2 linked regions of the Astyanax mexicanus genome follow. The protein of the gene in region 2 binds, or shares a complex with, the protein of the main gene of each other region. Links are inferred from orthologs where the notes say so. Each region holds a gene or a part of one and is shown on either strand. Other genes may lie near its edges.

Region 1 (3,755 bases), on a different chromosome or scaffold from region 2:
TAACAAATGTGACAGTAAACCTTTTTGCTCTGGATAAAACGACTCCTCCCCTGTATTTTTTATCCTGGTTGCAGAACTGCAGTGGATCCATTCATTCAGTGAAGAGCATCCATACACACAAACACACTGCATCATACTGCAGATTATATACACTCACCTGCTCAGGTAACCAGTGATATTACTCCACAATACTCCTGTTAACCTATAAACACTATAAACTGTATAACGCTACTGTCTGCATCATAAAGAGCTGCACTAGGTGAGGAGGGTGCACTTCACTGTGCTAGTGTGTGTTTAGAACACTTAGCTCGTGTAAAGAGTGCGGGCCGCCATTGTGGGCGCGTTCCAAACCCTTACAATCAAGTCCACTAGAAATGAAAGTCTCTGTCAATGAATGCTATTCACTTGCTATTAAAAATAAATAAATAAAATAATAAATAAAATAAAATGTATTAGTTAAATAAAAAACGTTAAACAATTTATATATTTTTTATTTATTAATTTATTAAAATTAATTTATTAAAAATAAAAAATAACAGATTTTGAAACAACTGAGTATGTTTTTTCTTTGTTTGTATTTGGTCTCATGTTTTCTTGCATGAACATCAATGTATAGTAATTAAATTACATTTTTAAGATCATGAGATAATGAATATAGACCATGATATATATATATTTTTTTTATTTGGAATTTCGGAGAAATGTTGTTTGTAGTTTATAGAATAAAACAATAATGTTAATTTTACTTAAACATAAACCTATAAATAGCAAAATCAGATAAATTGATTTAGAAACTGAAGTGTTCTCTTAATGTTTTTCAGAGCTGTACAGTCCTTTAAAAAAAACATATCTAGTGCACAGGTGTTTAGGCCGCTTGTGCGCGGATTGGAACGCGCCCCCTTTTCTAGACAGGCATCTGTGTGAGACACCCCTCTACATCATCTGCACGCTCTCTCTGGGGTCCTTTCTGTCTCCGCGAGCGCCGGTGTTTCTGGAAGGTTCTGCTTGGTTTCGGAATCGTCCAGAATCTGCGTTCATCCGACCCGAATCCGCGGAACCGAGACCCGCAGACAGCCCGGTACCGTTCCCGAGACCCTCCCGCACCCGGACCGAGAGATATATCCGCGGGGAAATGCCTGAAGCAGCGGCGCCGAAGGGGAAAGGAGGAGCCGGCAGAGGGGCGTATGTGGACCGGGATAAACCCGCTCAGATCCGCTACAGCAACATCAGCGCCGGGAAAGGTGGGTCCACGGAACCGCGCAGACCCGCAGGAACCCGCCAGCTCTCGTTTACCCCCCGGTTCCGCCCGGTTTACCCCCCGGTTCCGCCCGGTTTACTGCTTAAAACACGCTTTAATACCCGCTGCAGTGTGGAGCTGGAGCTGCTCCACCTTAAAACAGATCACCATTTAAGGTGGTATTTGTGTGCTGCTGGTCAGTTATTGGGATTATGTAACTGTAGAATAGGTAGGGACCCCACCCCAGCATGGGTTTAGATGCGTGGGTCTTTGTGACGTCACAATACCCCCTTAAAACCACCTTAAGTTGCTCCTGTCAGCTCCTCTTTGTTCACATGGGCTGATCCTGCAGCAGCAACAGTTCAGCAGCTAGAAATCATCAAATACAGTAAATACAGCTCTAGAAAAAAAATAAGAGACCACTTCAGGTTCTGAATCAGTTTCTCTGGTTTTGCTATTTATAGGTTTATCTGTGAGTAAAATGAACATTGTTGTTTTATTTTATAAACTTCAGACAACATTTCTCCCAAATTCTAAATAAAAATATTGTCATGTAGTGCCTTTATTTGCAGATAATGAGAAATGGCTGAAATAACAAAAAAGACCTCAAGTTTTCTTTGCATTATAAGTTCGTATTCATAAAGTTTTAAGAGTTCAGAAATCAATATTTGGTGGAATAATCCTGGTTTTTAATCACACTTTTTATGCATCTTCGCATCATGTTCTCCTCCATCAGTCTTACACACTGCTTTTGGATAACTTTATGCTATTCACATCTGGTGCAAAAATTCAAGCAGTTCAGTTTGGTTTGATGGCCTGATTATATTCCAGAGGTTTTCAGTTTAAATTATTCGTGAGATATAGGCTGCACAGTGCCTTAGTAAGTGTTTTAGTGTGGGTGTGCGATACGGCTCTAAAGTAATATAAATATTATTTTATGATAACGATGTTCTTTTTGATATGAAAAGACTAAATATTTTAAACCAACACTACTGCAACAAAATAAAAATTTAATTTTATTACTCCATACAATATAATATGGCACACCTCTAACGGAGATATTAAAAAAAAAAAAAAAAAAAGAGATAAATGATCCAAAAGGTCATCTCCATATATCCAGGATGTGATAGATGTGATCATTAGGAGTGGGTGATATGGCACAATATTTCAGGGTATCCTAATATCGTTATACAATATATATATGTATATAATCAGTCCTACTATATATATATATATATATATATATATATTGTTTTTTTTGTTTTTTTTACGATGATGGTCTTGATGGTCTGGTATTTCCTTTTGTGTTATATAGCTATCCTACCTGTTCAGATCATATTGTATTTTAATATTAAATCACATACAAATTTGGTTTTAATTTCATAGGCTGTTCAGACTTGATCTGGATACAGTGTAGAATAAATTCAATGAATTGGACTTGGACTGACAGTTTAAAACATGACTGAAGATGCATTCAGCTCTTACTGTGATCCATTCTCACCTCTTCTAACAAAGAAAGACATTATTAGGTATGCAGAGTGATTGCAGAATCATATTGGTATCAACCAATGATTTTCCTTTTTTTAGTGTTTATATATATATACTTGCTGATGTATTTATGGTATGCCTGAAAATGACCAATCAACACTGGCCACTCTTCTACAATTGGCAGACGCTGGCTCATTTTAAAATTATGATTAATTATTATTTATAAATATGTATATTTCTTGATATATACATGTACTTGTCACATCAGTGTATCTCCAGGCATCATTATTAATTAAGAGCTGCTAAACTCAATAACGACTGTCCTGTTTTTGATTGGCAGCTGTCGCCGATGCCATCAGAACCAGTCTTGGGCCGAAGGGTATGGACAAAATGGTACGTCATTCTTCTCTCTTCACTTCCCTGTTTCTAAATCCTCACCCTGAGCTTCCTGTCAGTCAGTCAGTCAGTCTGAAGGCTGGTTTTAAATGTGTGTAGCGGCTCAGAAATGCGTGTGTTTTATACAGTGTGGAGATGGATCAGTTTGCTGAGTCATGGTTGGTTTTCTATCACTCTGTTTATGAAATAACTGTTTTGTTCTTCAGATCCAGGATGGTAAAGGAGATGTGACCATCACTAATGATGGAGCCACCATCCTGAAACAGATGCAGGTGCTGCACCCTGCTGCCAAAATGGTGAGATATAAAGAGGTTTTTTATTTATTTATTTTTTACTTCTACTTCTTACATTTTCACACAATTATTTGAACTTTCCACTCCTTACATTTTAAAAACAGCCTCGTTATTCCTATTTCATTTCAGCTCGTAGTGCACTATAGGACTCTGTGGGCGTGGCCTAAGCTTTTGTTCTTTTTTTTCTCCTTGCATTGCTTTTACTTTTATACTTTAAGTAGATTTAAAATCAGTAAATTTACACTTTTACTTGTGAAAAGCTTGTTGATCAACTTCTACAGAAGTATTTTAAACACTAGTATCTGTACTTCTACCTACAGAGTAATGAATAGAGATACTTT
Region 2 (3,755 bases):
TGATTGGTCGGTAAGTTGTTCTTGAGTGCAGCCTATGAGCCCGCTCATTGGCTCGCGGTGGAGTCGATCACTTCACCAAGGCAACCATAGAACGTTAGGAAGCGGACAAGTTTTGCGGTGTTTTGCAAAATTTTATCTCCCTTTTATCTCTCCTTTTATCTCCCGCCTTATCATAAAACAACCGCAAACCGCTAGAGGGAGCCATCGAGTACTAATCCGTAATAAAACTCCAATTAAAATAGTGTTAAACTACTAATAAAAATCCTTTAATTTTAGAGAGTATAATTAAACATTTTGCTAAAAAAGCGAAGGAAACCTACCTGTATATTTCTTTTTCTTTTTCTTTTTTTACAGCAAACGATTGGGGCATTCGACCGAATTAGTGCAATTTGCTTGTTGTAACTCTTCCAAAATAACCTTTTTTTTTTACTTTTGTCAACTATAATTACACATGCCCATAACTATTCAAAAATGTACTGGTCAAGCTCGGGCAGATTTGTTTATTTTTTTACAAGGTTTCTAAACCAAAGAAGTTTACAAAACTCATGTGACATTTTAAAAAAAGCATGTTTAAAAGCAATTCTACTATTTCCTTTTATTTTCTCTCAAAAAAGTCTTCAGGTAGGGTAATGTGTTTCGGTAACAGGACTGATTGAAACCAAGGGACACAACTAAAATGTGTATTTTAACTCAAATCTATCTATCTATCCATCCACCCATCCATTTATCCATCCATGTATACACTCCTTTAACTATTAAACGCTATTAGCTGGCATATTATTGTGTCAGTGTCCCACCCTGAGTGACAGCAGGGGCTGGAGACATGTCCCACCTCCCTTCACCACTAACCCTTACAGAACACATGTCCCACCTGCTACTGTCCCCAAATGTCTCTCCAGGATACCCCCCCTCTCTTCACCACTAACCCTCCCCAAACACATGGTACATTCCCTTACCTTATTTGGTCATACTGAACCGGTGCCACCCGCAATACAGTCCCTCTGAGTCACACCTCAGAGTTCAGCGTTTTTAAATCCTGTCAGCGGACTGACCGCGCGCATTATTCCTCTAAATAATTTTTATATTTATATTTATATATTTATATAAAACACAAGCTGACCGGGGAACAGTTTGAACTGCTGTAAAACCGGCAGGATTTTTTTCGGGTTTGTTTCCAGCCGGTCAGGGATCAGTGCGGCTCACTGTGCTCCGCGCTGTGAGACAGAGCTCCGGATCTGAGAGGAACTCCACCTTAAAACTTACAAAATGCAGGTTTGTCCTTAAACTAATCGCTTTTCTCATCAATGTGTTTGATTGTGTTTAAATGTAGCTGTTAAATAAGCGATTTGATTCCGTTTGTCGCCGATCCGGCGCTGAAAAACAGCCATTTATTCCCGGAGTTCACGGGTTATTTTAGACCAGACACGGAATTGTCAGTTCCACCTTAAAACTCTTACTTACTGACCGCTATCGCTGAAGCGCAGGGAATACGAGAGCCTCACTATTTAAGGTGGAATGAAGAATTCGATTGCGAAGCTAACTTTAGCTTCGTTTATTTTTGGAAGTTTTTATTTTTAGTTAAAAATGAACTATATCGCTTAAAGGGTTGGGAGTTAAAAGACTTCACAATCCTTTTTAATTGTTAATTCATTTATTTAAAAAAAATATTTTATGTAGCTAGATTGTTTTTTTGTTTAAAAAATGAGGTCTGTATTTTTTGGATATTATGTAAACCTAGAGCTGGACGATATATCAATATTTTATTGTATCATGATACATTTTCTTACCGTATCGATAATATGTTCTAATAAGCATGTCGAAAATATCGGATAAAAAATATTGGATGCTGTGCAGATTGAGTAAAATTCACTGTATGAAAACATATATCATTTCCGTCCAATGAAAAACAAGTATTAACGACTGTATTGTTATATTAATGTTTGGCTATATTATCTAGCTCTATGTTAAAAGTATATTGTGATATATATATATATTTAAATTCTTACTATTATTTTTGTAACTAGTACAACCACGACAAGAATCTTGGCATTCAATTATTTTTTGACTTGATTTTTTTCCCAAAAAATTAATAATAAGAATTAAAGTTTGCACTAAACTTAAGTGGATGGTTTTAAGGTAATGTCACTCTGTGTGTGACTGGCTTTAATTTTAGGACCCAAATGAAGACACTGAGTGGAATGATATTCTCCGGAGAAAAGGAATCCTTCCCCCTAAAGAGAAGCCGAAGGAGGATGAGGAAGAGGAGCAGATTATTCAGCAGCAGTCTATTGGTAAGAGTCTTCAGTGATGAATCTGAAAAGATTGAATGTTTTTCTTATTAAAACTGTATCTGACAGTTCTGTGGTTCTGTGCAGTAAAGACCTATGAGAGCATGACTCTGGACGAGCTGGAGGAGAATGAGGACGAGTTCAGTGAGGAAGACGAGGCTGCTATTGAAATGTACAGGTGAGTTTAGTCAGGAGTAAATAAAGCGTTAGTGAATCATGTTGGTGTTTCTGTTTGAGTGTGTCTTCTTATGCTTTGTTTTGTGTTTTTTAGGCAGAAAAGACTTGCAGAGTGGAAAGCTAACCAGATAAAGAACGTGTTCGGGGAAGTGAACGAGATTTCTGGACAGGATTACATTCAGGAGGTGAATAAAGCTGGCAGTGGGATTTGGGTGGTGCTGCACCTCTATAAACCAGGGTAAGTTTGGGTTTAACCCAATACACCAGTTGGTTTAAAACACAGTGTCCTGCATAGTCTTGCCTAGAGGACAAAGATATTCGTTATAATATCAAATCTTTACCAAATATTTGTGAAATCAACCCAAGAACAAAAGCAGGTTTGTTTTAACACAGTAAAAACACAGACTACAGTCCAATATACTCACCTCTGAACGGCGAAAGTGCTAGCACTGCTGTTAGCAGTTAATGCTAATACTGCTCTAGCCTTAGTGCTGGAGAAACTTCACTAAAACTCACCTGTATAACTCTGTACTTCAGTGGAGTGTCTTTACTGCTCCTTAATACCTGACTGATAGAATTCATACATAAGGAGCACCGGATTATAATATGTAGTGGTGATTTTTGGGAAATTAAAGGATTTTAATTGCTTCTTATAGTCTGAAAAATTCTATAATAATATTTCTTATGGAAACTGTTTAAACACTTCTGTATTTCTATGTTGTACAAGTAAATTAAATATGAGATTAACATGTGAGTTCCATGATGCCCACAGAAATGTACAAATATACATACGTATACATATTTAGCTACTTTCTAAAAAAACAAAAACAACACAATAGTTTTTATTTGTAAAAAAATATACTAGTCTATGGTTATGGTTGTTTCCAGAATAATTATATTTTAAATAAAATTAGCACAAAGCAATATAGGTATGATCTGATTCATCCTGTATAATTATATACCACATTATAGTCCCACATTTTAAAACATTGCAGTGCAGAGGGCACTTAAACTGATATATAACTTATTGATCTGTCTGTATCTTGTCTTCACTTTTATTCCTCTGTGAATCATATGAATTAATAATAGTATAATTTATATATATATATATATATATATATATTTCCTCCTCAGCATCCCCCTCTGCACACTCATAAACCAGCATTTATCAGAGCTGGCGCGAAAATTCCCACAGACAAAGTTCCTGAAGTCCATCTCCACCACCTGCATCCCCAACTACCCCGACAGGAACCTTCCCACAATCTTCGTTTATCACGAGGGAGAGATGAA

What was found. Proteins that work in one complex are often made in the same cells at the same time.
Region 1: the proteins of pdcl3 (region 2) and cct4 are in contact, whole or in part, in a cryo-EM structure (PDB 8I9Q), measured with the Homo sapiens proteins. The link is inferred for Astyanax mexicanus from reciprocal best matches to the Homo sapiens genes PDCL3 and CCT4. Residues at the interface, in NP_076970.1 of Homo sapiens: Ala70, Ile71, Tyr74, Arg75, Arg78, Leu79, Trp82, Lys86; in NP_006421.2 of Homo sapiens: Val266, Gln271, Met272, Leu276, Glu279, Arg280, Leu312, His315.

What each region holds. Positions count from the first base shown.
Region 1 is NC_064428.1:33,705,947-33,709,701, forward strand, and holds the start of cct4 (T-complex protein 1 subunit delta), read left to right. Parts: upstream 1-942; 5' UTR 943-1,132; coding exon 1,133-1,241; intron 1,242-3,065; coding exon 3,066-3,118; intron 3,119-3,327; coding exon 3,328-3,417; intron 3,418-3,755. UniProt on the Homo sapiens protein: Component of the chaperonin-containing T-complex (TRiC), a molecular chaperone complex that assists the folding of actin, tubulin and other proteins upon ATP hydrolysis.
Region 2 is NC_064418.1:366,129-369,883, forward strand, and holds the start of pdcl3 (phosducin-like protein 3), read left to right. Parts: upstream 1-999; 5' UTR 1,000-1,266; coding exon 1,267-1,272; intron 1,273-2,173; coding exon 2,174-2,291; intron 2,292-2,375; coding exon 2,376-2,466; intron 2,467-2,559; coding exon 2,560-2,703; intron 2,704-3,599; coding exon 3,600-3,755. UniProt on the Homo sapiens protein: Acts as a chaperone for the angiogenic VEGF receptor KDR/VEGFR2, increasing its abundance by inhibiting its ubiquitination and degradation.